Elephas maximus indicus: one gene and its partners. The protein of the gene in region 3 interacts with the protein of the main gene of each other region in a pairwise test. Links are inferred from orthologs where the notes say so. Each region holds a gene or a part of one and is shown on either strand. Other genes may lie near its edges.

Region 1 (6,979 bases), on a different chromosome or scaffold from region 3:
ATGAGTCATCTGATAATGTGGCTGTCATTCCAAGGTGTGGAAACTGAAGCTCAGAGCTGTGAAGCGGTGACAGCACAGGGCTATGACCCCAGGTCCCGGTCCACAGCATGTGCCCTGCCCACAGCACCATGGGCTTCCCTGAATCAAGTGAAAGGTGTGTCTCTGCCTCCCCGAGGGTGCTCAGTGAAGGACCAGGGTATGGCCCTAAGTGACCCTCTGGGGTCCTGGAGCCCTCCGAGCATCTGGTGGAAGCCCCCCGCCCAGGCAGGCCCCTGCCTACCTCCTCCACCAGCAGGCTCTGGAGCTCTTGTAGGCAGTCCTGCATGCGCTGCCGGTCGGCGCTGTCCACCACCCAGATGAGGCCATCGGTGCTCTCAAAGTAGTTCCGCCAGTAGGACCGCAGGGACTTCTGGCCACCCACATCCCAGATGTTCAGCTTGAATCTGGGCAGGGGAGGGGGCAGCTGGAGGGTCAGCCCAGCCCCTCTCCCACCCTCCCTGCCCACCCGCCCGCCGAAATCCTGCTCACCCACGGTGCTCCAGGGTCTTGATGTTGAAGCCCAGCGTCGGGGAGATGGTGTCGATGTCTTCCCCATTGAACTTCTTCAGGATGGTTGTTTTGCCAGCATTGTCCAGGCCACTGGGGCACACCGGATTAAGGAGAAGTGCTCACACTCTGCAGATTGGTGGCATTGTCACTCACCACAAATCAAAGTCAGTTGAGCACATGCCTGGCCTGCCATCGACCCACGATAAATATGAAGGATCAAGAAATAAACATCTTATCATCTCTACTTCACCGACAAGGTGGGTGTTGTCATCCCTTAATTCATTCCACAAATGTTTACTGAATATCTACTACATGCCAGGCCCCCTTTTGGATGCTGGGGGCACCCCAGATAAGAGGACAAAGTCCCCACCCTTGGGCAGCTCACAATTGAGCAAGGAGACAGCTGAAAAAGTGCAAACCAGTGAGAAACTTAAGATGCTGGTGAGCTTCAGAAACCCAATGATGAGGCTCTGAGAAGGTCACCTTCTGTGAGAAGGTGTCTTGAGGTGAGGCCCGAACTACAAGGAGTCAGTTTTCTGAAAGACTGGGGAAGGGCATTCCAGGCAGAGGGAACAGCAGGAGCAAATAACTGGGGGCACCTACCCTTTCTTCGTTGTTTCTGGAATGTACCAAACCCTTTACTGCTGAATGAGTGTGCAAAGGAATGGTGAGTTCCCCAAGTGGGAGAGACAACCTTCCTCTTTCCTTCCAACACTTACGGGGACTTGTAGCTCTGTGTGGTGTGTGTGTGGTGTGTGTGTGTGTGTGCGTGTGTGTGTGTGTGGAGGGACACAGGCCCTGGGCTCAGCCTCTTATTGCTCACCTTACCTGGGGCAAGTGACTCAAGCCATGAAATGGGGTGATGAGAGGACCTGCCCTGAAACCCAGCCACGGCCCCTGATAACTGGCAGCTGATATTTCTCCCCTCTCCCTGCATCATCCATGATTCCTTCCACACGGGATCATTCCCATCAGCTGACAACCTCACTGTTGTTACTCCCCGCTTAGAAAAAGCAAACAAAACCTTCTCTTGTTCCCTCTCCTTTCTCCAGCTAGCTGTTTATTTCCTTCCCTTTACAGCAAAGCTCCTCGAAACGCTGCCTCCATCACTCTCCCCAATCTGCCCTCTTGCTCTTTCTAGAGCCCACTTCCATCAGGCTTCTGCTCCCTCTGCCTCCCTAAAATTGCTCTTGCCATGGTCAGTCCCCAGAGACCTCCACTGTGCTCTCCAATGGCTGGTCGGTGCTTGGTTCCCATCTTCCAGCTCTACCAGCAGCACCTGACAGACCTGCCTGTCTCTCACTCCCTGACCCATGCTGCCCTTGCTCTGAGACATGTCCTCGCTGGGGCCTCCTCATATCTCCTGGCTGCTCCTCCTCATCACCCTGATCTCTTGATTGGACGGAGTACACTTCACTCTCTTCTCTGTCACACTCACCCTCTAGGTGAGCTCATCCAGGATCCTGACTGCAAATACCATCTTTATGCTGTTGACTCCCAAATTGATGCCTCTCGCCCAGCTGCTCCCCTGGTCACCTGTCCCAAAACCCAGCTGCCTCCCTGACATTCCTGGGATGTCTCAGAGGCATCTCACATGGCCAAGTGAGCTCTCAGCTTCCATCCCTGTCCCGACCTGCTCTGCCCTGGTCTTCTCTGTCAGCTAGGCTCCTCATTCTTCTAATTGCTCAGGCCAGAAAGCCAAGAGTCAGGCTTGACTTTGCTTTCTCACACCGTTGGCCAATCCAGGAGCAATTCCTGCCTGCTCTCTCATTACCTTCCTACTTCATCACTATGATGATTCCACTCTGATCCAAGCCACCATCCTATCTCGTTCTCATTATCGTGATTGACCCCTAACTGGTCTCCCCCTTCTGCCCTTAACCCATGTCCTCTATTTGCAACACAGAAGCCAAAGTCAGACCACTCTTCTCCTCTGTACAAGACCCTGCCTGGACTGTCTTCCCCAGACACCTCTGACCTAATCTTCTAGTGCTCTCTTCCCTGCTCATTCTCTCCAGTCACACTGCCCTTGAACGCACCAGCTGAGTTCCTTTTGGGCCCTTTGCACTTGCCCTTGTCTTTGCCTTGACTAGTCTTCTCCAGGTAATTACACAGTTCACCCCTCACTTTACTCACCCGTCATCTCCAGGAGCCTTTCTTGGCTCACCCTATTTTAACGGCATTCTTCTCTCCCCACAAAAAATATTTTATTTGTTTTATCATCTTTCTCCCCTCAGGCATTCTATAACATTCAAGAGGACAGAACTTTGTTTTGCTGTTTTACCTAGCAAACATGGCACACAGGAGGCGCTCCATAAATACGTATTTCTTGAATGAGTGAATTCTCTGCGCCTTTCTCCGGGATCTTTAAAATGAACACGGCGGGCATATTTTTAAATTATTTGCGCGCATAAGCGACTTCTCTGCTGGCCCAACTAGTGGGTCTCAGATGCCCCACGTGGCCCGGCACAGTGTAAAACTCCCACTGCTGTCCAGTGGATTCCGACTCATAGTAACCCTATAGGAAAGGCGCGAAGTGCCCCATAGGGTTTCCAGGGAGCGGCTGGTGGATTCGAACTGCCAACCTTTTTGGTTAACGACGGAACTCTTTACCACTGCGCCACACAGAGTAGGGTGAATGAATGCAGGGACCCTGGGGCTAACAAGTCCTCAGCTTCGGGGACACCGAGGGGCCGCGGGGTGTCACACACAGTCTAGCCCGCAAGCAAACCGCCCAGCGGAACCAACCCTCGCCCCCCGGGAGCAGAGGGCGGGGCCGCGTCCCCGGGATTCCGAGTTTGGGGGCGGGGCCGGGGCCGGCACCCTCGGACAGGGGGGAAGAGGTCAGAGCCGGGAGGACAGCGGTCCCACGCTCGTGCCAGGCCTCCGGACGGTGACGTCTGAGTCACCTCCGGGCCCTATCGCCCCGCTACGCTTGGGACGCCTGGTCCCTCCGCTGCGCCTTTAGGCCCACACCTTTGGCCTCTGGACTGGAGTCCCCCCTCCCCGAGCCGATGGTACGGCCTCCTCTCGGCCCCAGCCCGAGCGATTGGTAGGGCCCACGTGCGTGACGCACAATGGGCAGTTGGTACGAGCTGGCCGGCCGCGCACCCCGCGCCCGGTAGGGGGCGTCTGTCACTGCCCCCCGGCTGGGACCCCACTACCCTAGCGGCTCCGCCGTCCGGGAGGATACAGCATGAGCAGTCGCAGCTCCCGCTCTTTCTCCTTCATTTTCTTCAGAATGGTCAGAAGCCCCATGATCCCAGCAGCCCCCTCCCGGCCGCCGTTTCTTCCTAGTCCTGGGATCCCCGCTCCTTGCTCCTATTGGCTATCACGCCCAGCGACAGCACAGCCCATTGGCCAGCCCTTTTTGGGCCCGCCCTTGCCCCACGTGACCTCAGAGCGGCCGCGCTGTGTCTCTGCTGGGGTCCCTCTAGCGGCGGCGCGGCTTCTGCGCGGCCACCTGCCTTAACCCTTCGCGTCCCGAGGGCCGACAGTTGGGGGCGAGGGCGAGTCTATTCCGTCCTCCCAGGACCCAAAAACTCGGCCGGGAACGGAAACCTGAAGTTCATGGGTTGGATCTTGGCCAGGTAGGGAGTACCTGCAAAAAGGTGTGGCCAGCCGGGGACCCAGGAGTCAGAAGCGAGAGCCTCATGACCTGGGGCTGTCCTGGAGGCTGTGTAAGGGCCTGTTACCCGGAAACGTGGTCCAGATCCCGCTCTTTTGGGGCCTTGGTGTCATCCTAAATTTGCCAATGACGGAACAGGAATTGGGCCTCCCCCTTGCCAGGCTCCTGAATGCCGGTATTGGTCCCTAGGGACCGTTGGAAATGTGCGGGGTGGGGTGGGGTTGCGTGTTTTGGGTTGATTCAGCGACGGAGGGAAGATTCCCCCACGTTTAGACGGTGGGAAGCAGGGATAGTAGGTAGTGTCCTGCAATGCTGGGGACAGACCCTCACAAGAATTGTCCCGCCTGAGCCCATGGTTTCCCTTTGAAGAAAAACAATCTCACGTTTGCTGATGACAAAAATGAGGCCCACCAAAAACTCGCTGCTGTCCAGTCGATTCTGACTCATAACGACCTTATAGGGCGGTAGAACTGCCCCATAGGGTTTCCAAGGAGTGCCTCGTGGATTCTTGGAACTGCTGACCTTTTTTAGTTAGCAGCGGTAGCACTTAAACATTAACCACTACACAACCAGGGTTTTCTTGAGGCCCACAGTGACTGGCAAATAGTAGATGCTCAATAAATAGTTGCTGTTGAATGAGTGACTTTGTCCAACAGTTTGGTTCTTTCCCTTAGTTTAGTACCCAAGAGATCCAGAAAAACTGAGGAAACTGAGGCCAGGAAGCAAGCAGATTGTAAGCTCAGAAGGGTGAGTCTCGTGTGTTATTTTGAGCCCTTCCACAAGTTCACTATAGGGTAAGTGTGAGTAGACAGCACAAAGGAACCAAACAGTTGATGGGGAGTTAATGCTGATTCCTGGTGACCCCTTGTGTGTCAGAGTAGAACTGTGCTGTATAGGGTGTTCAATGACTGGCTTTTTGCAATAGAGTGCCAGGCCTTTTTTCTGAGGCACTTCTGGGTGGACTTGGAACTTTCAACCTTTCCATTAGGTGCTGAACATTTTAATCATTTGTACCATCCAGGGACTTCTAGCAGAGTTCTTGTTAGGTGCCCTTGAGTCGGTTCCAAGTCATAGAGACCCTATGCATAACAGAAGGATACACTGCCTGGTCCTGCACCATCCTCAGAATTTTTGTCATGCTTGAGGCCATTGTTGCAGTCACTGTGTCAGTCCATTTTGTTGAGGGTCTTTCTCTTTTTCGCTGACCCTCTACTTTACCAAACATGATGGCCTCCTCCAAGGACTGATCCCCCCGATAATATGTCTAAAGTATGTGAGACGAAGTCTCCCTGTCCTTGCTTCTAAGGAGCATTCTGGCTGTACTTCTTCCAAGACAGATTTGTTTCTTCTTTTGGCAGTCCGTAGTATAGTCAATATTTTCACCAAGCCATAACTCAAAGGCATCAATTCTTCAGTCTTCCTTGTTCATTGTCCAGCTTTCACATGCATATGAGGCGATCGAAAACACTATGGCTTAGTCTTCAAGGGAGGATCTTCGGTTTTAAATACTTTAAGGAGGTCTTTCGCAGTAGATTTGCCCGATGCAATGCGTCCTTTGATTTCTTCACTGCTGCGTCCGTGGGTGTTGATTGTGGATCCAAGTAAAATGAAATCCTTGACAACTTAATCTTTTCTCCATTTATTATGATGTTACTTATTGATCCAGTTGTGAGGATTTTTGTTTTCTTTATGTTGAGGGACAATCCATACTGAAGGGTGTGGTCTTTGATATTCATCAGTAAGTGCTTCAAATCCTCTTCACTTTCAGCAATCAAGGTTGTGTCATCTGCATAACGCAGGTTGTTAATGAGCCTTCCTCCAATCCTGATGCCGTATTCTTCTTCATATAGTCCAGCTTCTGGGGTTATTTGCTCAGCATACAGATTGAATAAGTATGGTGAAAGGATACAACCCTAACCTATACCTTTCCTGACTTTAAACCACATAATATCTCTTTGTTCTATTCCAACAACTGCCTCTTGGTCTTTGTACAGGTTCCTCATGAGCACGATTAAGTGTTCTGGAATTCCCATTCTTCATAATGTTATCCATAATTTGTTATGATCCACACAGTTGAATGCTTTTGCATAGTCAGTAAAACACAGGTAAACATCTTTCTGGTGTTCTCTACTTTCCTCCAGGTTCTATATGACATCAGCAATGATATCCCTATTTCCATGTCGTCTTCTGAATCTGGCTTGAATTTCTCGCAGTTCTCTGTCAATATACTGCTGCAACCGCTTTTGAATGATCTTCAGCAATATTTTACCTGTATGTGATATTAATGATATTGTTGGATAATTTCTGCGTTCTGTTGAATTACGTTTTTTTGGAATAGGCATAAATATGGCTCTCCTCCAGTTGGTTGGTGTCGTGAGTTGAATTGTGCCCCCCAAAAGTATCTGTCAACTTGGCTAGACCGTGATTCCCTTGTATAATTGTATGATTGTTTACCGTTTTATCATCTGATGTGATTTCCGTATGTGTTGTAAATCCTATCACTCTGATGTAATAAGACGGATTAGCAGCAGTTATATTGATGAGACCTACAAGATTAGACAGTGTCTTAAGCCAATCTCTTTTGAGTTATAGAAGAGAGAAGTAAGCAGAGAGACATGGGAACTTCATACCACCAAGAAAGCAGAGTGCGTCCTTTGGATCTGAGGTTCCTGTGCTGAGATGCTCCCAGACCAAGGGAAGACTGATGATAAGGACCTTCCTCCAGAGCCTACAGAGAGAGAAAGCCTTCCCCTGGAGCTGACGCCCTGAATTCAGACTTCTAGCCTGCTGAACTGTGAGAGG
Region 2 (7,304 bases), on a different chromosome or scaffold from region 3:
CACTTTTCCCACATTCCACAGAACACATTGGAAAGAGAGCTCAAAAAAGAAACAATTTTTAAGACTGAGTACTAAATTATCAAAGGCCAAGTGTAGCTGTGATTGTAGGGAGGGAAATGAGTTTACCTCCTCTCACAAAGAGCGCCTTTCTGAGAATGCCTCTGTCATCTAACCACGTCAGCCACAAAATCAAACACCGTAGTTTTGTCACTTTACGAGCAAGAACCTCTTAGAAGTCCTGAGAATTTCCACCCACTGGCACTTCTGGCCTGTTCTGGAGGGTTTGCTGATTGGGACTGGGCAAGCCGCTCTTTGCTGCCATTTTCCTCCTCATAAAAGGTGGAAGATGGTTAAGCGTTTTGAGATTCTTGGATGGAAGAGGGCGACGTTGTTCTGCCTTGTTTGTTTTTTCAAACTTTAGTTACAGATGGTAGTGGCTTTCCCCTGCTCTGCCTCCTTATTCAGTAACCCCTATCTTTGCCTGAAGTAACAGAATCTGCTCCTGCTGTCTGGAGGGTTTGTGCACCATTTAGGTTAGCAAACCACACAGTGAGCCTCAGGCTTAAAAAGACACTCGTTATTATCCTGAAAACCCTATCAAAGGTTTTTTTGGTTCTTCCTTGTTGCCCCTTCTTAAAAAATGAGCTCAGAACAGTGGATATCTTTCTTTCTTTTTACAATTGGTTGGGGCTTTTTTCTTTAATAAATTAATGTCAAAGTTTATGTTTGGTAAACTTGTGTTCACACGCCAGATTAGCTGATTTTGCTCCCGTGTTCTCCACTCAAGCTGAGAGCTCAAGTGGTTTTGATGAGGAATCAGGTTTAGGATCAAAGGGCCCTGGAGGGTCCCTGCAGATGATTTTCCAGGTGGGGAACCTTGCATGTGTCCAGATTGCTCTGCTAAGGTCCTTAGGACTAGGGCCCTGGCTGTGAACTTCACTCAGAGGATTTGCTAGAGCTCTGCCCTTCCTTCCTGAAGTTAACAGACAGGGTAAGAGATATTTAGGCAAAGGCTGACCCTGCACTGGGCTGTGAGGCTGTAGCCCTGTTAGACACTGCTGGACTAACACAGTGACCAAAATACCAGGGGTTATTCTCGGGTAACTACAGTCAGGTTGGTGTTTACTTTTTCATTGTGACTTTAAATTCTTGGTCCTGAGACCAAGTCCACAACTTGCCTTGTAGTCACTTGGCTCTCCTTCAGTGCATTTGATACGTATAGCTGGTCAGTCTGGAGCCTATCACCAGTCTTTCTGTCCTGGCTTGGCCAGGTCCATGCAGGAACAGCTTAGCCTTGAGGCCCAGAGAATCACTATTTTTCTCCTTGAGGGAGGAAATACAGCTGGGGAACATGATGTCCTTCCACAGCATGGGAAGAAGAAAATAAAACTTTGCAACAGCTTTGACTTGTGTGCGTGGCAGGAAACATTTTCCTCTGGGAGTGGAACTGGGTCTCCATTTTCAGTGAGAACCTTTGAAGGACTTGACCTGGGTCTCTGTAATAGAATGGATGGGACAGGCTGCCACCGGAGTCATTCTGCCATGGCCTCTGCAGTGCCAAAACTAGGGCAGTGTTCAGTAAATTCAAAACCAAACTCATTGCCGTCAAGTCAATTCTGGCTTATAGCAACTCAGTAGGACAGAGTAGAACTGCCTCATAAGGTTTCCTAGGCTGTAAATCTTTGCAGAAGCAGCCTGTCCCATCTTTCTCCCATGGAGCAGCTGGTGGGTCCAGACCACCAACCTTTGGGTTAGCAGCTGAGTGCTTTAACCACTGTACCACGCCACTAGGGTGCCTCACTTAAGTCTCAGGCACCTGCATGATCATCAGGCCGGAGGCAACGAGAAGTCTTGTGATAGAGCAAGAGGAGGACACTCCCCAGGGGCCCTTAGTTACTCTTTAGAAGATTGTATAAGGGCTCAGGGGCTCTCGCTGGCTTTGCCTGAAAGTTTCGACAACTTCCTGTATTTCAGCACTCATGGTTCCCAAGGGGAAGGAAGAACCACTCATTTATCCCAGCATCTAGTATTCCTTGCATATCTCTGATGCTTCAAAAATAGTCCTTGGTTTCATCTGTCAGTAAAGAATAGTGAAGTCCCCTGAGGAAGCAGGATGATACAATGGAGATAAGGGCAGAGAGACTGGGAGGTCAGGATCCCAAGACCTGAGTTCTAATAGTAAGAATAGCAACCATTTACTGAGCACTGACCGTGAAGCAGGCACGTACTTTACCTGTATGACCTCATTTCATCCTCAGAGGATAGGTACCATCAGCAGCCTCATTTTACAGACGAGGAAATTGAGGCTCACAGAGGTTAAGTCATTTAGCCAAAGTGTCCCAGGTAATAGTAGAGCCAGGATTCTTTTCGGTTTGGCTCCCAAATCTGTCTTCTAACCCCACCCGGAAACCCTGGTGGCATAGTGGTTAAGAGCTACGGCTGCTAACCAAAAGGTCGGCAGTTCAAATCCACCAGGCGCTCCTTGGGAACGCTATGGGGTGGTTCTACTCTGTTCTAAAGGGTTGCTGGGAGTCAGAATCGATGGCAACAGGTTTGATTTTTCGGGTTTTAACCCCTACCCTGGAGTCCGTGGGTGGTGGGAATGGTTAATGCGCTTGGCTGCTAACTGAATGGTTGGAGATTCAAGCCCACCCTGAGGTGCCTCAGAAGAAAGGCTTACTTTGAAAAATCATCCATTGACACACATCAATTGACTTGATAGCAACTTAAAAAAAAAAAACTACATACTGCCTCTAGTGGGAGCTGGGTGACTGGGCAAGATGCCTCATCCTGTTAGGCCTCAGTTTAGTATTGTTTAAAATTTGTTGGGCTAGATTGAATCAAGTCAAAAAATGGTCTGTAGTTCTCCAGGACAGTGCTTCCCAAGTGTTTTTTTTTTTTTTTTGACATCATAGCCGTGGTAGAAATAACTATATGGCACACTGATGAATGGAGGAGGAAACCAGGCCTCTGCTGCAGGCAGGGGATGAGGGCACGGTTGGGAGGTTTCCCAGCACTCTACAGCTCCATCATAGAGAGCAAGTCGCTGGCCCAGACTGAGACAGCCGCACCCAAACACACCAACCCCCAGCAAAGGGACATGGTTCTCAAGCTTCTCTCCTCACAGGGTCACTAGGATGACTTCGTGGGAAGTTGGTCATGCTTGGGAGTGACAGAACTGGGAGTTACTGAAACTATCCTAGTGCGAGAGATGCCAGGTGAATAAAGTCTCCCCGTGTTCTCAGAGGAATTGCATCTGCATAAACTGGAAGAAATTCCTGCTTGACTGCATACTTTTAAATGAGTGGCAAACACAGTTTAGCAGAATGGATATTGTAAAACACAGGTTGGGCGATAAAGTTACGCACAAGGAGTTGAGGGTGAGGACTTCGCGCTGGGCCTCGACGGTAGGGGGGCGTGGGTCTAGTGATCTCCCAACTGAGGTCCGAAGATTTAGCGCCCTCTCCCCGCCCCTCTCAGCTACTGGAGGGCTTGCAGTAGTGAATGCACATATGTAATGACATTTCCCTTTTGACATAGTTTTATCCTAGGGACTCCCTCGGAGCCCGCAGAGGACCCACCAGAAGCCAGTCAGTGAATGATGCCCGCGGCCCCGGGTGCTCTTGTCTCTCTTGAATTCATGTCATTGCCTCAAAGCATTTTTATTGCAGTTAACATTTTGTTTGCCGTTTTTCTTTGCTGTAGCAACAAGGCTCCCCATTATTTCTGGGGGCAATTTTATTAGCTATTAGTGGTTATCTCTAGCGGACAGTCAGCTGTCCGTGTGGGATCGCTCGGCAAGATAAAGGGTTGCACTAGGTAACTTCCAGGGCCCTTCCAGGGGGGAAGTCAACCCCATGTGTACAAACAGAACAAAAGATGGGCGGAGGAACTTGGGGACAAAGAGCCCGGCCTGGCGTTGTTTCGTCACGTCAATGAGGAAGGGAAGGGGCCGGGCCCTAATGCCACTGTTTGGGGCGCCCTGGGCTACAGCTGCCCGGAGACGGGTGCTGGCGCGGTCGTGGGTGCTGGGCGGCCCGGACTGAGAGGCCGCCCCAGCCGCGCGTCTCCGAGAAGGGGCAGCGAAGGGCCGAGGCCGGCGGCGGGAACCGCGCTGACAGCTCTGGCCCTTCCCGCGCGGGCCTGGGCTACGTCACGGAGCAGCCCGCCCACCTCGTCCTGATCCAATGGGAGCCCGAGACACGTGTAACTCTCCATGCCAGGCCCAATCAGCTCGACGCGCGCTCCCGCCAGCATCTCGCGCGATAACCGGGCGGCTTGGGATGAGAGGCTTCTGTCCCCGCCCCTCGGCTGACTCCGGAAGCGAGGCGACCGAGGGATTCCTCCGCTCTCCGGGGCGCCGAGCGTCTAATCTTAGCAGCCTTGTAAAGTAGTGCGCCTCTTTCTTTTCGCGAGGCCTTGAGAATAGCTCATTTTCTTTTTACAGTTACGTCCTGGACCTAAAGACCGTGGGTTGGAAAAGATCAGGGAGTCAGATAGGCGAAACCTCGGAGGTAAGAGGCGAAGGTCACGTGGCCAGGGCGGAGGAACATGACTGTGGTGCGGCCCGCGCCGGCGTGTATAAAGGGCCCGCGAGGGCGCGGCGGCCATTTCTCCTCCCGCCTTCAGATGTAGAGCAGAGACGTAGCCCGCGCCTTCCCTCCCCGCCCGCAGGGTCCGCAGCCGTCATGGCGTATTAGAGGCAGCAGTGCCTGCGGCAGCGTTGGCCATTGCAGCGGCGGCAGCAGCACCAGGCTCTGCAGCGGCACCCCCCAGCGGCTTAAGCCATGGCGTAAGTACCGGGGTGGGGCCCGCTGGCCGGGCGTCCCGGGCCGGGCGGACGTGGCTGGGCCGGGCGCGGTCCTGGGGCCGGGCGGCGTCGCGGGGGCAGGAAGCTGTTTTACGAGGCGCCGGCGCCGCGGGAGCCCTGCTGGGTGTCCCCGAGACGCCGGCGCCCTGGGTCGGGGGGAGCGGCCGGCGCCGTCGGCCGGCGAACGTGGCAGGAGCCAAGATGGCGGCGGCGGGGCGGGGCGGGGCGCGGCGGGGGCGCCGTGGCCGGATTTGGGCAGCGCGGGGAGCGCCTTCCCCGGGGCGGGGCGCCGTGGCCGGATTTGGGCAGCGCGGGGAGCGCCTTCCCCGGGGCGGGGCGCCGTGGCCGGATTTGGGCAGCGCGGGGAGCGCCTTCCCCGGGGCGGGGCGCCGTGGCCGGATTTGGGCAGCGCGGGGAGCGCCTTCCCCGGGGCGGGGCGGCGGCCGTATTTGGGCAGCACGGAGAGGGCCTTCACCCCGCGGCGGGGCCGGCTGAGCCGGGACGCAGCCAAGGGTGCTCGGTGCCTCCGAGGCCACGTGCGCCCCACTCTCCAAAGCCAAGCGGGCTTCCCACGCGGCCGTCCTGTCTCAGGGCAGAACGATGAGGTTCCCAGACGAGCCCGTGTCTGATGGGCCTTCGTTCCCGGCTCCTTGCAGGCTTCTCACGGCATTCAGCAGCAGCATTGCTGTAACCGACAGAGACACCTTCGAATTAAGCACATTCCTCGATTTCAGCAAGGCCCCGCGTTATGGCCGAGATGAGCTTCCTGAGCAGCGAGGTGTTGGTGGGGGACTTGATGTCCCCCTTCGACCAGTCGGGTTTGGGGGTTGAAGAAACCCTAGGTCTCTTAGACGACTACCTGGAGGTGGCCAAGCACTGCAGAGCGCATGGGTTCTCCAGGGACAAGGCTAAGGCAGGCTCCTCCGAATGGCTGGCTGTGGACGGGTTGGTCGATGCCTCAGACAACGGCAAGGGTGAGTGGCTGTCCTTATCCCCCGGCGTGGTCTGGGTCACTTGTGCTTGGGGAGAGTTGATGCCACTTTTTTGTGTCTTGTAGAGGATGCCTTCTCCGGAACAGATTGGATGGTGGAGAAAATGGATCTGAAGGAGTTTGACTTCGATGCCCTATTGAGTCTAGACGACCTGGAAATTATGCCAGCCGAGCTTTTGGCCACGTTGGATGACACCTGTGATCTCTTAGACCCTTTAGTCCAGGAGACGAATGAGCCCCCCCAGACATTGAACCCAATTGGTCATCTCCCAGAAAGTTTTCCCCAAACTGACCAGGTTGCCCCATTGACCTTCCTGCAACCTCTGCCCCATTGCCCCGGAGTCCTGGCCTCCACTCCAGACCATTCTTTTAGTTTAGAGCTCGGCAGTGAAGTGGATATTTCCGAAGGAGATAGAAAGGCAGATTCTTTTCTGTATGTTACCGCGGTCCCTCAGTGCATAAAAGAGGAGGAGGCCCCTTCAGATAATGACAGTGGCATCTGCATGAGCCCTGAATCCTGTCCAGGATCTCCCCAGCACAGCCCCTCCACCTCTGGGGGCTCTCCAGATAGGAGCCTGCTGTCTCCACCTGCTCTCGGTGGCTCTGCTCGCCCCAAACCTTATGATCCTCCTAGAGAGAAGGTGGTAGCAGCAAAAGTAAAGGGAGAGAAATTGGATAAGAAACTGAAAAAAATGGAGCAGAACAAGACAGCAGCCACTAGGTACCGTCAGAAAAAGAGGGCAGAGCAGGAGGCCCTCACGGATGAGTGTAAGGAGCTAGAAAAGAAAAACGAGGCTTTGAAGGAGAGGGCGGATTCTCTGGCCAAGGAGATCCAGTATCTGAAAGACTTGATAGAAGAGGTCCGCAGGGCCAGGGGGAAGAAAAGGGATTCCCTAGGGTAGTCAGGAACGGGTGCTTGTATATAGGAGGCTTGCGCTGAAGCTGTGTTGTAATAAATTATTTTGTAGTGAAAGTACTTATGTAGATGTGCTGTGTATCGTAAGTTTTTTTGATTTGTGGCTAAAATGATTCACTTAACCCTTCCAGGAGTGGGTTCTGGTCCTTCATGGGGTCCAGGGGTGGGTGAGATCATTACTGAGGATCACAGGTTTGATAGGCTGTTTGGGTGGGGTGGGTCATGGAAGGTGATGGTTTCCATTGGGTCCCCGAGTTTCAGGCAAAGAGTTGGGCTTGAGCCCAACAGCTGGCTGGGTGTTTTTCTGGAACTGAACTCTTAGGGTTTCTCTTACCAGTAACCCATTGGGGTGGGGCTGGAGAGTTAGCCCTCAGGACTTACGGGACAGCTGGGAGGGCAGAACTTCCTGGTCTTGTTGACACAACCTTGGCTGTATTTTAAGCTTTGCCAGCTCTGTAAGCTGTTTCCCTGAAGGGAACCTGTTCAGACAAAAGGCTTCAGATTTTAAAGTGGGCCTGGAGGGCTGAGAATTGTCTCAAATGACCAATCCCAATGCGGTGGAGTGGAATGGACGAATGCCCATCGGT
Region 3 (6,597 bases):
AACCAGCTTGTGGGAAACTCCCCCCATGCCCAGCTGAGTCAGCCTGAGGAGACCAACTCTACTTCCTGCTTCCAAGAAAACCCAGCAGCTTCCTCTCCTGGAGAGGGGTGAGGGGTGCTTCCTGCACCTTGAACCCCCCAAACCACATTGGAGGGAGGTAGCTGGCAGGCCAGGGGTTCCTGGGGGAGGCCTCCATGATCCTCAGCCTCTTCCTGCCCAGCTGCCTGTCCACACCCAGGGGCAGGGACTCAAGAGGCTGGGTGCCGAGGCTTGTGGCTTCTCGCCCTGGCCTGCCCACTGCCTGACTCAGGGCAGCCCCAGGCCCAGTTTCCTGGTGGGGGCCCTGTCGGTCAGTGGGGCCGGGGGGGAGGGGGTCATCAGGCTATTTATAAGAAGGAAGTCTCTCATGCCAAGGCCAAAAGCCCCAGAGAGACCCGTGGGTGGGGGTGGGTGAACTTCCTCTTATTCTGCCCCCCAGGCCCTGGGTCCCTGGGCATGGGGGAAGCCTGGGCACAGACTGCTCAGCCAGATGCAGGTGTGGAGTCCAGGACCTGGGCAGTACCCACATCCAGGTCAGCTGGGGGAGGGGGCTAGCCTCACGACCTCCTCAGGGAGCTGGCCTCGGCGCCAGTGGGACGGCGTGAGGGGGTGGTGCCCAGGCCACAAGGGTGAGACTGGCAGGAGCCTGGAACCAGCTGTACCAGCTTGGCTGGGCCCCCACCCTGGCTCCATGGCCCAAACCCCACCCCTTGCCCAAACACCTGAGCAGGGTGCATCCAGCGACCCCATGCTGGCCGGTACACACCCACCCTCACCCACTCTCCCTGTGCCCAACTCCATCTCTCTCCAGATTAAAGGAGGCCCTTTGTGAAGGGGCCTGCAGAGCTTGCCCCACAGTTGGCACTCCACGAAGGTCCCCTTCCTGCCTGGTTGCCCCTCTCCCCATCCTTCACTCTCTGACCGTTTTTCTCTCTGGTTTTGATTATCTACAGGACAGTGGCTAATGCTTTGGGGCCAGACATCTTGGGTTATATCTACCACTTATAGCTGTGGAACGTTGAGCAAGTTCCTTAAGCTTGGCTGCCTCAGTTTCTCCTCTGTTAATGGGGATAAAAATAGCATATATTTTGCCGGGTTGTTGGAGGCATTTAATGACTTACTACATGTCAACCACTTAGAAGAGTGCCTGGCCATATAAGTAAGCACAGTATAAGTGTTAGCTATTAAAATAATCATTATTTTTAAGTTTGTCTACCTATCTTAAGTGTCTCTGAGTCTCTCTGTCTCTGTGAAGCTAACCTTGCTCCCATTTGTCTCTCTGGCATCTCTCCCTGCCCTGATACCTCACCCCCATGTGCCCACTCTCCTTGTTTGGTTGTCCTTTGAGATTTGCCCTCCATCTCTGACCCTCTCTGGCAGAGCCTTGCCTCTCTGCTGGACTCCCCTGGCGTGGGCTGTCTCAGCATTGGCTGGCCTGGGCTAACTCACTGTAGCCTCCTGGTCTGTGGGACCTGCAGGTCAGCTTCCCAAGGTGCTGCCCTCTGGCCTTGGCCTTCCCAGCCCCCCAACGCTGCCTGATGCACCCCCACAGAGCCCGGCCAGATGTCAGCTGCAGTTATTAGCATGGGCGGGCAGGAGACACAGGCCTGGCAGCAAGCCCGCCAGACACAGCGGCTGGAATCTCCCTTGAGACTGGAGCGGGGGAGGGGAGCAGTCACACAAGGGTAAGGGGGAGGGGGCATTTAGGGGTCACAGGGACCCTTCAGAGCCAGGGACACCCCCACCTTCTCATGGGATCTTCCTCCCGAAGGCCATTGCTTTGCTGGACTTTCCCCTGTCCCCATACAGCTCAGTTTCTTTTTCGCCTCTTTCATTTTCCTTCTCTCCCCCACACTGGGCGAGCTTGGTGCCTGCCCCACGAAGGTCTGCCAGCCCCTGTCCCTCAGACTCAGCCTTTCTACCCCAGAGAAAGTTCCACCCTTCTAGAAGACACAGGCCTGGAAGGTACAGAAAGAAAGCTTTTCCCCTGAGTTCCCCAGTCTGGGCTTCTCGCCTCTTGTTCTAGTGGCTCATACCCTAACTGCTTGGAAGTCCCACTTTAAGTCTAGCTAGAATCCTCACCATCTGAATCTATACCCAGTTCTTCCTGGGGAAGGTGTGCTGGTTCTGTGATTCTCCCCTTGGATTTTCAGCTCATCTCTGACTGGGGTGGCAGAGGGGGGCCCTCAATGGAGGGAGACATCCTGGGGAGGAAGGGGCCTCCCTCCAGGTATTATAGATGGGACCCACTGACTAGGTGAGGGAGGCAGGGGCATCCCAGCCCCTAGGAATGTGTGTGTTGGGGGTGCCCAGACCTCCCGGCAGAGGGGAAGGGCACCTCGCCCAAGGGAGGAGGCAGCCGTGCCAGCCTGCCCAGGCGCCAGGGGTGCCTCTAGGCATCGGCCCGCCTCCTCCGCGCCCCATCGGGCCGGGAGCGAAGTTCGACCCAGGCCCGCTGGCAGGCGGGGACCTGCCAGTCTGGGCTGGGCAGGGCCGGGCCAGCCTGGCAGGACGCGGCCCCACAGCGGCTGGGCGGGGCCGGGCTAGGCGGCCGTGGGGGCTCCGGGGGCGGTGGCCGGGGCTGGTCGGGACTAGCCAGTCCGGGGGCCCGGGCGCGCCCTGGGACCTGGCAGATATTGGTGCTCCTAACTCCTGGCTCGCGGCCCCGGGACAGCGCTGGCACCACCCCTTCCTGTGCCCTTATATGGGCCTCGGGGAGAGCTACTCCCCGGGCGGCCCCGCCCCCAGTCCCTGCTGGCGGACTCGGGCCGTTACCATGGCGACCAAGCCCCGCTCCCGGGCTGCGCCCCCCTCCGTCGGGATAATGGAAAGGTCTCCGTTTTGCCTTGAAAGTCGTCTGCAGGCGCCGCGAGCGGAACCACTGCTGGGGGCGGGGGAAGATAATAGGAGCTCTCTGCGGCTGGGCGGGCCCCGAGCGCTCGGGCCTCGGCGGGGGTCTCAAGCCCAGGTTCCTCTTCTGAGGCACGGAACCCGGCCAGACCCAGGGCGGGGTGCACGGTCCGGTAGGATACGAGTGACGGAGGCAGGGCCGGGCTCCTTCCCCGGGGGCTGTTGCCACACTTCCTGCCGCCACGCTCTTTCCCCAGCCTGTTTCTAAGGAAGGGAGTGGGGTTGGGCGACCGCGCCCCGGCCATCGGGCTGGGTCCAGGCTCCGAAGTTGACACGGTGTAGGGCAAGCCCAGGGTCAATGGGGGAGGCCATGGAGCTGGGGACAGAGTATTCGGGCGCCGATGGGTCACTACGAATGGGGTTGCGCTAGTCATGGAAGATTCGGCACAGCCTAGTCCCCAGGATCCTGGGAGCCCCTTCCTCGCACATCTCAGCTGGGGACCCTCCTGCCATTGTCCTCTGATTTGAATATATGTTCCAACCCTTCTAACTCTCCATCATGGCTTCACAGATTACCCCGGTGACTCCCCAACCTAGTGCCCCTGACAGACATATTCCATTTTCTACTCCACGTATTTTCCCTGGCCAACTGTACCCGAGGACCCGCATCCCTTTATGCATATCTAAATTTCCCCATCTTCATTCCTCCCCCACTTAGGCAGGGCCCTCAGATTGTCCCATGGATGCCAGCATCCCTCCTCATTTCTGGTATAATGGGTCCTCCAGCTTCTCCTCTTGTATCCTTTTTAAGCGTTGCCTTTCTTCGTTTTTCTAAGTCCCTCCTGTGAAAAGTTCCGGAACCCCCACTCAATTCCTGTGCCAGGCGTTTCCCCACCCCTTCCCATTTACTCGCTTTAACCCTCTTCCCCTTGTTTTTTTGGGCTCCCAGGGTATTATCAGAGTCCCAACCCCTCTGGAATACTTCGGGTCCCTCAGGCCTTTCGCTTACACCCTGGGATACCCGCCCCCACTTCCTCTGTACCCTGTCCTCCTTTTTCTCAGGTGTACTCCAAGGGAGCCATTGCTCCTTCTCAGCCCCTCCCCCAGATGCCTCGTGTCCCCCAGCAGATCCTTCCTCGCGTACTCCGGGGTCCCCCAGCCCCTCCCCTGCAGCCGCGCCGAGCCACACGGCCCATGGCCGCTGTTTACAAGGACACGCGCTTCCTGACAGTGACGCGAGCCGCCTCCTCCCCTTCCCCACGCTCGAAGAGGGGGGCGCGGGGGCCGGGCTCGGGCGACCGCCAATCCGAGCGCACTTCCGCAGCTGACAGCTCATATAAAGACCAGCCTCTCTGCTCAGCGGCCGGGACCTTGAGCGCGGCCAGGCCACCTTCGGAATCTTCAGGGAACGGGGAGCGGGGGCAAGCGACACAGAGAAAGCGAGCGCACTAGAGAGGGCGAGGAGGACACGGGAAGCTGGGTAGAGCTTTCGCGCACAGCCGCCGGCTGGCCGCTCCCCGCCCGAACCAGTCGCCGGGAACGCGCGTTCCGACAATCAGTCCGGTCACCGCCGCGGACAGCGCACCGGTCGCTGCAGCGAGGCCCCGGGCGGCCCCGCAGGGACCACCCCCCCCGCCCCCAAGCCCGCCGGGCCGCCCGGATGTGCACTAAAATGGAACAACCTTTCTACCACGACGACTCATACGCAGCAGCGGGCTATGGCCGGGCCCCTGGCGGCCTCGCTCTACACGACTACAAACTCCTGAAACCCAGCCTGGCGCTCAACCTGGCCGACCCCTACCGAGGCCTTAAAGCGGCCGGGGCGCGGGGCCCCGGACCAGAGGGCAGCGGAGGCAGCAGCTACTTTTCCAGCCAGGGCTCGGACTCGGGCGCTTCGCTCAAGCTCGCCTCGTCGGAGCTAGAGCGCCTGATCGTCCCCAACAGCAACGGCGTGATCACGACGACGCCCACGCCACCGGGACAGTACTTTTACCCCCGCGGGGGTGGCAGCAGCGGAGGTGCAGGGGGTGCAGGGGGAGGTGTCACTGAGGAGCAGGAGGGCTTCGCCGACGGTTTTGTCAAAGCCCTGGACGACCTGCACAAGATGAACCACGTGACGCCCCCCAACGTGTCTCTGGGCGCCAGCGGAGGTCCCCCGGCCGGGCCCGGCGGCGTCTACGCGGGTCCGGAGCCGCCTCCGGTCTACACCAACCTCAGCAGCTTCTCCCCGGCGTCTGCACCCTCTGGCGGCGCCGGGGCCGCCGTCGGGACCGGGAGTTCGTATCCGACGGCCACCATCAGCTACCTCCCACACGCGCCGCCGTTTGCCGGCGGCCACCCTGCGCAGCTGGGCCTGGGCCGTGGCGCCTCCACCTTCAAGGAGGAACCACAGACAGTGCCGGAGGCGCGCAGCCGCGACGCCACGCCGCCGGTGTCCCCCATCAACATGGAAGACCAGGAGCGCATCAAAGTGGAGCGCAAGCGGCTGAGGAACCGTCTGGCGGCCACCAAGTGCCGGAAGCGGAAGCTGGAGCGCATCGCGCGCCTGGAGGACAAGGTGAAGACGCTCAAGGCCGAGAACGCGGGGCTGTCGAACACTGCCGGCCTCCTCCGGGAGCAGGTGGCCCAGCTCAAACAGAAGGTCATGACCCACGTCAGCAACGGCTGCCAGCTGCTGCTCGGGGTCAAAGGGCACGCCTTCTGAGCGCCTCCCCGCTATGTACGGACACCCCCTCCAGCCTGGACGGCTGGGCGCACGCCTCCCAGGGGGGGCGAGGAGGCAGGCGTGGACACCGGCCCCGGGGCCTAGGGGCGCCACAAACCACACTGGACTCTGGCCTGCTGGCTCTCGCCCAATCCTTCCACCTCGACGTTTACAAGCTGCCCCTTCCACGTTTTTGTATGTTTTTTTTTCTCTTCTAGAAACAGACTCAATTCATATTGAATATAATATATTTGTGTATTTAACAGGGAGGGGAGGAGGGGGCGATGGCGGCGGAGCTGGCCCCGCTGCCTGGTACTCAAGCCCGCGGGGACACTGGGGAGGGGACCTCGCCCCCTGCCCTCCCCCCTCTGCACTATACTGTGGAGTGGAAACACGCTTGGTTTATTTTAAGATGTGTTTGTGTGTGTGTGTGCGTTTATTGTTCTGACTTTTTATTGAATTTATTTAAGTAAAAAAAAAATAGTTCTTTATTAATTTCTGGAGTCTTTTTTTCTAAGCCGGGCGGGCGGAGGGAGGAGAGTACTGGGCGGCCCTCACCCCACCGCTGTTTGGGGCTCACTCCAGTGCCTGCATCCCCCTCTCCAGCCCTGTCCAGCCATCTTAATGTCCCAGCCTAGCGGTCCGGCCCTCATATCCTGAGCTTGGTGGTCCCCGGGGGTTGGAAGGTGCGGGACGCGGTCAGTGTCCCAAGGGCGCGACGCGAAGTGCGCAGACGCGGCCCGCCCAGCCCCGCGCGCCGGGGCTTTCCCCGCTGACGCAGCGGAAGCGCTGCCCATACATGGACCGATTCTGCCCAGTGACGCGCTGGCGGTCTCCGGGCAGATTCCGGGAATCCCCTCCCCCGCTCTGCCGGGCAGGGCCGCAGCGCCGGGAAGGGGGCCGGGATTTTCCCGGGCAGGCGTCTGCCCGGGCCCGGAAAGCCCCAGGCCTGGGTCCAGAGCGCCCGGGGTGGGCGGGCCGCGCTCCCGGGCCCCGGGAACCAC
Region 4 (6,994 bases), on a different chromosome or scaffold from region 3:
TTGCCTTTGCCCTTCATGCCTCACGAGCCCCTTTCCACCAGATGTTCCCGTGGTTCACCTCTTTCAAGGAAACCTTGCTCCACCTCCATATTCAAAAATGCAAACCTTCCCTCTACTACTCCCTAGTGCTGGTCACTGCTTTCATGTTTCTCATAGATCGTACTGCTAACTAACATGCTGTGTTTGCTCATTGTCCGTCTCTCCCTTCTCTAGAGTAAGCTCTGTGAAGGTGTGGATCTTTGCTTTGTTCCTTGTATCCCAGTGCCTAGAACCCTGCCTGGCACACAACAGCAGGGTAGACACAGTGGTCTCTGCCTTAAACTTTCTATTCTCTAGTCCCACCGGAAGCCCACGGGACCACCCTCTGAGAAAGAGTAGTGAAAGTTCAACTACTGAAAAGGCAAAGGTGAAATGGTGACCAGGTTTTCTAGCCTTTGAGTCACATTTTTTAAACAACTGTTTTCTTGTGAAGGGAATCACCAAAGAATGTGGTCACTGAGCTGTAAACCTCCTCTCTCTATCCCCAAAGTTGCACTCCAAGGTCATTGTGGTATTAATAGGAAATCGCCAAATCATATAATTTCTCTTCTCAGTTCAAAGGAAAAAAGCACAAGTAAAAAGAAAAGGCAGAGGAGGAAAAGGTGACATTTGAAATGTCTGGGCTTGTTTATCTTTTCTTCATTTCATTTTTCTTTCTCCTTTTGACTTAAAGGTGATAAAATGAGCCAGAAAATACAACAGAAAAACAAGAGGATTCCACCTGGTCAGAGCATTGTTGCCATTCTGGGATGACAACTGACCTTAGCGTCAAGGAAGGGAATATCATCTGTAAATAAAAAATGTTTAAAAATGTTAACATAATAAAACAAAATTTCAAAAAGTTTTAAAAAACAGACAAAAGAAAATTACGTATAAACCCACCACCATGAGAGAAAAGCTACTGTTACCTTGGTCTTTTGGTCTTTTCTCATATGTATACATTTTTATATAATGTTACATGTGTCATATTTTTACATAATGTTACATGTGTTATACATGTACTATTGTATCCTGGTTGTTTTTCTTACTTTACCTGATAGCAAATCAGTCTGTCATGTAGTAAATTTGTCTGCATGCTTGTAATTTTAAAAATGTACACTATTCTACCCAGTGGCTGCACCATGTTTTATTTAGTTATTCATCTACAATTGGACATTTATGTTGCTTATAATTTTTCACTCTTAAGAATGTTATTATGTATATTTAGTGCAATAGTATTTTTCTCATTATTTTCAACTATCTTCCTAGGATTTTTTTTAGATGTGGGAGAACTGAGTCATAAGTGGTGTCTCTCTTTTGGTTCTTGAAAGCTACAATAAAATTGCATTCCAATAGATTTGCACCAATGTGTAACAATGCTAGTGAAATACAAGAGTAATAATTTCACCACACGCTCACCAGCATTTGACATTATAACCTTTTGTTTTGGTAATTCAATATTTGAAAAATTTCTTATTTTAATATGTGTTTTTCCTATCTCTATTTTTTTTAACTCCATTGAGAAATTCCAGTTCATGTCACTTGAGCAATTTGCCTTTGGGGTTCGTCCCAATATTTTTCTTATTTCTTTCTATGACCTATAGATCCAATAGAGATCTTAACCCTTTGTCATGTTTATCATGAATATTTTTCCTAGTATATTTGTTTTTAACTTCTGGCTATTTTGTCGTCTAAAACCGTTTAACATTCGTATACAGTCCAGATCTTTCCACCGGGATTTCTTCATGCCTTAGTTTTTTTTAGTCTTAGATAATTCTCTCCTTGTGGTCTTATTCCCAGGGCTTTAATAAGGATTTAATTCTGTTTTATCTCCCTAATTTTATTTTCTATATCTGACTGCCTAATCCATTAATTTTGATTATGATATGTAGGTCAAATTGATCTGTTCCTTAAACACTAAGCAGTTAATCGACTCCTCCTTGGAGGTATGTGAAGGTAGCCTTGCCTAACATGACAGCCCAGGCCATGCCTAAACGGAGAGTCCCTGTGTGCCGGGACAAGGCCCAGGCTCCCGGGGCAGAGACAAGCAGGTACAGCCACAAATGCCTTAGACTGTGGTGTGGTTAAGTAAGAGCAGAAAACCGACACCAGCCAGAAGGAAGCTGGGAGTGCACCTAACGTCTGCTCCGGGCTTTGCCTGCCCTTTCTGTTCTTGAACACCTTGCGGGGGGGGGGGGGGGGATGGGGGGATGCAAGCCCTGCTCAGAATTAACCACCACTCGCCCCAGAGGTTTTCCTAACTTGTTAGAGTCTTTTTAAGTTTCAAGAATGTGGGCTCAGCTGAAACACGCTTCATTTGTCAGTAAATTGAGCACCTGCTGTGTGTAGCATGCTGCACAAGGCGCCCTGTGTGTACCGGCGTGGGATACAAAAGTAACAGCCCAGGAGCCTCCATGGGGTATGTTCGGTGATGAAATACAAGGGAGAGGCGAAACCCAGGCAACAGAGCCGAGGAGAGATGGCTCCGCTCTGCTTCCCTTGACCTTGTAGTGGGTGGCACTGTGGCTGTAACGGGCTGTGTCCCCCGTGCCCTCCCGCTGGCTGCCTTGCATCTCCGCCCTGCGTTCTCAGGACCCCTGCTCACAGACATCTCCGCTCGCTCTCCTGACCTCGGCCAGACAGCCAAGTTCACCGAAGCACCGTCTCGAAGCTTTCGAGAGTGTCTTCGACCTGAAGGAGAGCTAGGGGCACTGGGCTGAGGTCAGAGTCCGTCCCTGCGCCTGCCGCACTCTGAGCCCGAAGGACTAACGACCACACCCGGACAGCACTTCTGAGTTCTGGTCGGAGTTCCCGCCCCCACCCCCCGGGTTCGCGGTTATCTTTCTCTCCCGGTGCTGACAGCATCCAGACCACAAACCCGTAACCGCTCGTTAGTTCTTTGCTGGGACCATGTACGATTTTGTCTTGACGTCGCCTCTTTTAACTGGCAGGCGGGTGGAGGGGAAAGCACCGCGCACCTCCACTTCACTCCCACTTCGGCACCGGCGTGGTGACAGCCACGCATCTTGACCTGTAGATCACTTTGATCTTGAAAAAGAAATAAGATCTGGCGCGTTTAACGTTAGCGTGGGGGGGGCCCGGATCCCCAAACCTGTCAACGGTGACGTCCAGTGAGGTCAATGTCACTGTTTCTCTTGGGACAACCGGCCCCCTCTCCCTGGGAATTCACCCTCGGGGCCTCCCCGTCTGCTCCCTCCCACAAGCTCGGCGGGGCTGGTGAAAAGAGGGGTGACCCTCAGGGTGCGCGGTGGGACTTGGTGAAGCCGGCTGGTCCGTCTCCATTCCCTGCACCTCCCAGTTTGGGGAGCCGAGGGCCGAGGAGGGCGTGAGGGTGGGGAGGGCAGCGCCTCGGGCGCCAGGCTGACTAATGGCTGCGGAGAAAGTCCCGGGACTGTGAGCGGCTGGCGAGATGTGACGGATGCGCAGGAAGATGCTGTGATGGGACCGGGAAAAAACCACCAAGCCAAACCACCCACTCGTGTTTTTCAGCCCGAGTTCCTCAGGGGCGGCCGAGGGACCCCAAAGGCTGTGCCGCGCTGCGCCTCCCTAACCCCCCATGCCCACCCCAGTGTAGCCTCTTGCGGGTGGGCTTCGCGTTCCCTCCGGGTTTCGGAGCCACCACGTGACTTCCACGAAGCGCAGGGCCCCAGCGGAAACCTGCGCCCGGGGTGGGATTGGGACCCCGAGGTGCGGCGAGAGGGCGGGAAAGGAGGAAACGAGGCGGGGTGGGAGAAGGAGGGGCGGGCCCGGCGTGGGGACGGGCAGGACGAGGGCGGACCTTGGGGTGGGGAGCCCCGGGACCGCGCGCCACGGCCGCCGACAGGGAGAGCGGGAAGCCCGCGGGGGCGGGGCGGAAGGGGCCGGGCGGCCGGCAGGTGCCGGGGAGCCAGGATGCCCCGGGTGGGAGGGTCCCCGTAGCAGCGCCGGGGGCAGGGCGGTCGGGCCGAGGAGCGCCCGGCATGTCGCAAGGGCTCCCGGCGGCCGGCAGTGTCCTGCAGAGGAGCGTCGCGGCGCCCGGGAACCAACCGCAGCCGCAGGTAGTGCCAGGGGCCCCAGGAGTGGGGGCGCCCGGGGCGCGAGGAGCTGGGCGCTGGGTTCCGGGGTGGTGGCTGCTGGGGTGCGGGGGTGGAGGGCGCTCCGGGAGACGAGCGGGCGGGAGGGCGGACCAGGGGCCCCTGCGTGCGTCTCTGCCCAGCCGCCCTGGCGCACTCACGGTGCCCGCGGGGCCTGGATGGGGAGCCGGCTCTTGCGCCCCGGGCGGGGAGAGGAGGCAGGACGCCGACGCCTGGCTGGCCCAGCCCGGCCGCGCTCCCCGCACGTGGGCTCCACGCTGTCCGGGGCGCCACTGCCCCACGGCCTGAGCGCCTAGCCCTTCCTGGCCACTCCGGGTGAAAGCCAGGGCGTGGAGAGGGGAATTCGGCCGGGGAGGCTGCTGGCGCCGAGCCACTCCCAGCACACGCTCCAGTTGCGGGCGGAATGGGGAGCGTGGGGTGGGGGCCCCCGGCAATGGACGCAGGCTCCACCCCCTCCACCCCCAGCGCTAGAGGAAACCCCTCGTCCCCGTCCAGTCGGTTTCGGCGGCGATGTCCCAGGCAGCTTTTACAACCGCGCCCGCGGGAAACGGACAACGCTGCGCTCAGGCAGGGCCGTCCGCCAGCTTTGCTTCCAGTGAAGGACCGAGACTGGGTCTTTTCATCTTTATGGCGCCACCGAGCGCCGTGCCTGGCACATAATGTCATCGGTGACTTTAAGTCTCAGAGATCTAAGTTCAGGACTCGGCTTTGCCACACACGGCCTGAGTAGCCTTGGGCAATTTGCTTAACTTCCCTGAGCCTCGGTTTCCCCATCTGTAAAATGAATATAATAACATCCACCTTTCAGGATTTTCGTGAGGATTAAATGAAATATGGTTAATAGTTATATGACTGTCTCAGTATGTTCTGTCTTGATTTTTTGTTTCTTCTGCTGGGTTGTCAGGTGTGGACAGCTACGTGGTTAAGCCCAGGTCGAGGGTCAGCGCCCAGAGGGCAGGATGTGGGCTGCCTCACTGCAGAGTGACTAGTGCCCCATGACTTAGGATGATGGGAAGTGAAGAGGCAAAATTTGGTGGCAAGCCCTGTGGCAGAGGCAATAAAAAACAGCAGCAACCCCGGCAGAGGCAAGTGGCCTATTGAGGGCGTGCTGTGTGCTGGAAGCTTGAAGACAAAAATCACGTGTTATCTTATGAGCCCTAGCAGTGGGCTGCCAGCTTGGAAGCCCCATGAGATCACCCACCGTCTGTTCAGGGCTTGTGCCTAGAACACTGGCTGGCAGGCGGTAGGTGCTCAGCCAGTATTTATTGAAAAAAAATGAATCACACTTACAATAGATGAGGGAATTGAAAATTGAGAGAATTTAAGCCATTTACCCACCATCATATTGGTAGTAAGAGGCACCACCAGGGTGTATGTTATTCTAAAACTGAAGTTCTGCCCTCTACACCACATTTTCTCACTCCTTTTCTTTCTCACACTTCTTGAGTGTCTAACTGTGGTGTCCTGGTTATGATTACCAAGTCTTCTTTGCCCCTAGAAGCTTTCATTTTTACACTTTGTCCTCTTAAGCACTGTCTCCAGACCACTCCTATTTGTTCTGTGTGTTATTTTCTTCCCCTTTTACACTCTTACATACTCACATTCACTGAAAATCTCTTTACCTGCAGTAACTTGGAGGGATGATGTGTGTCTCACCTATTTGGAATACAGGAGTAGATAAAATGATCATTTTGTGTTGTTAGTGTTTTGTTTTCTATTAATATTAATAATTGAGTGTCTTTCCTGTATTTGTGCTCCATTTTGGGTAACCTCTTGGTTTTTAGATTTCTTAAGGGTAGCGCTTTTTCCCTCCCTGCCCCCCTACCTTGGTGTGTTCTCACAGGGTCTGGAAAGCAAATACTATTCTGCTTCTGCATGTTTTCTGTAACGGAGTGACGTGTTTTCATCATGGTAAGCGCATTTTTCTGCCTGCCTGTTTCATGATAACTCTTGCAGGATTTGACTAAGTTTGGCTAAAACTCATATAAAAACTTTCAAGATACATTGAAAATTTGCTTTCTGATTCACTTTGACTTCTGAAACAAAATGGAAGCCAAGCATTGTTCACATGAGCACGTTGTCTGTTGGTGGAGTTATGTGGTTGCATTTAGTTGTAACCGTGATCTGCATACAGTATAAAGGCACCTGTTTGTGCGTGATGTGGGGAAGCCTGGCACACAGCAAGTTCCAGGTGCTCTCTGCTTTCCCAGTCTTGGATGAGCACCACAAGTCTTCCTGCACACGCCCTGGAAAGGTTTACGAACATTGGTTTGGAGCCCAACAGACCTGAGTTCCACTTCCCACTCAGCCGCTTACTAGCCATGATACCTGAAGCAAGTTCCTTAAGCTCTCTGAGTTTCTTATTCCTCATCTTTCAGATAGTGGTCAGACCACCCATTTCTCAGGGTGGTTGTGGGGATTAGCAGCTAAGCCTGGTGAGTGCTTCTTAACAAAGAGCTAGAGTTATCCCAGGAGCCCTGGTAGAGCAATGGTCAAGAGCTTGGCTGCTAACTGAAAGGTTGGTGGTTTGAACCCACCCAGTGGCATCCAGCAGACCTGGTGATCTGCTTCCATAAAGATTACAGCATAGGAAGCCCTTTGGGGCAGTTCTACTCTGTCACATGGGGTCACTATGAGCCGGAATTGACTGGACAACACCTAACAAGTGCTGCACACTGCAATAAATTGGTGAAGCGTGACTGGCAATGCTGAGTGAAAAGAGAAAGCAGAGAGGGGTGAGGTGAGGAGCCTCAACTTCACATCTGACCAAATGCTTTCCCCCAGAGTCCAGAAGATGATGACAGGAAGGTCCGAAGAAGAGAGAAAAACCGTGTTGCTGCTCAGAGAAGTAGGAAGAAGCAGACCCAGAAGGCTGACAAACT

Evidence for each region.
Region 1: the proteins of JUNB (region 3) and BATF2 interact in binary tests that used the Homo sapiens proteins (3 or more experiments, as listed by UniProt). The link is inferred for Elephas maximus indicus from reciprocal best matches to the Homo sapiens genes JUNB and BATF2.
Region 2: the proteins of JUNB (region 3) and ATF4 interact in binary tests that used the Homo sapiens proteins (3 or more experiments, as listed by UniProt). The link is inferred for Elephas maximus indicus from reciprocal best matches to the Homo sapiens genes JUNB and ATF4.
Region 4: the proteins of JUNB (region 3) and BATF3 interact in binary tests that used the Homo sapiens proteins (3 or more experiments, as listed by UniProt). The link is inferred for Elephas maximus indicus from reciprocal best matches to the Homo sapiens genes JUNB and BATF3.

What each region holds. Positions count from the first base shown.
Region 1 is NC_064825.1:128,185,746-128,192,724, reverse strand, and holds the start of BATF2 (basic leucine zipper transcriptional factor ATF-like 2), read left to right. Parts: upstream 1-3,960; 5' UTR 3,961-4,119; coding exon 4,120-4,139; intron 4,140-4,851; coding exon 4,852-4,924; intron 4,925-6,979. Other genes in the region: ARL2 (ADP-ribosylation factor-like protein 2), read right to left, coding at 281-443, 529-639, 3,743-3,807.
Region 2 is NC_064822.1:183,485,778-183,493,081, forward strand, and holds ATF4 (cyclic AMP-dependent transcription factor ATF-4), read left to right. Parts: upstream 1-4,603; 5' UTR 4,604-4,792; intron 4,793-5,466; 5' UTR 5,467-5,558; coding exon 5,559-5,784; intron 5,785-5,867; coding exon 5,868-6,703; 3' UTR 6,704-6,785; downstream 6,786-7,304. UniProt on the Homo sapiens protein: Transcription factor that binds the cAMP response element (CRE) (consensus: 5'-GTGACGT[AC][AG]-3') and displays two biological functions, as regulator of metabolic and redox processes under normal cellular conditions, and as master transcription factor during integrated stress response (ISR).
Region 3 is NC_064821.1:31,491,410-31,498,006, forward strand, and holds JUNB (transcription factor JunB), read left to right. Parts: upstream 1-4,257; 5' UTR 4,258-4,549; coding exon 4,550-5,593; 3' UTR 5,594-6,084; downstream 6,085-6,597. UniProt on the Homo sapiens protein: Transcription factor involved in regulating gene activity following the primary growth factor response. Binds to the DNA sequence 5'-TGA[GC]TCA-3'.
Region 4 is NC_064842.1:1,338,681-1,345,674, reverse strand, and holds the start of BATF3 (basic leucine zipper transcriptional factor ATF-like 3), read left to right. Parts: upstream 1-3,975; 5' UTR 3,976-3,998; coding exon 3,999-4,076; intron 4,077-6,896; coding exon 6,897-6,994. UniProt on the Homo sapiens protein: AP-1 family transcription factor that controls the differentiation of CD8(+) thymic conventional dendritic cells in the immune system.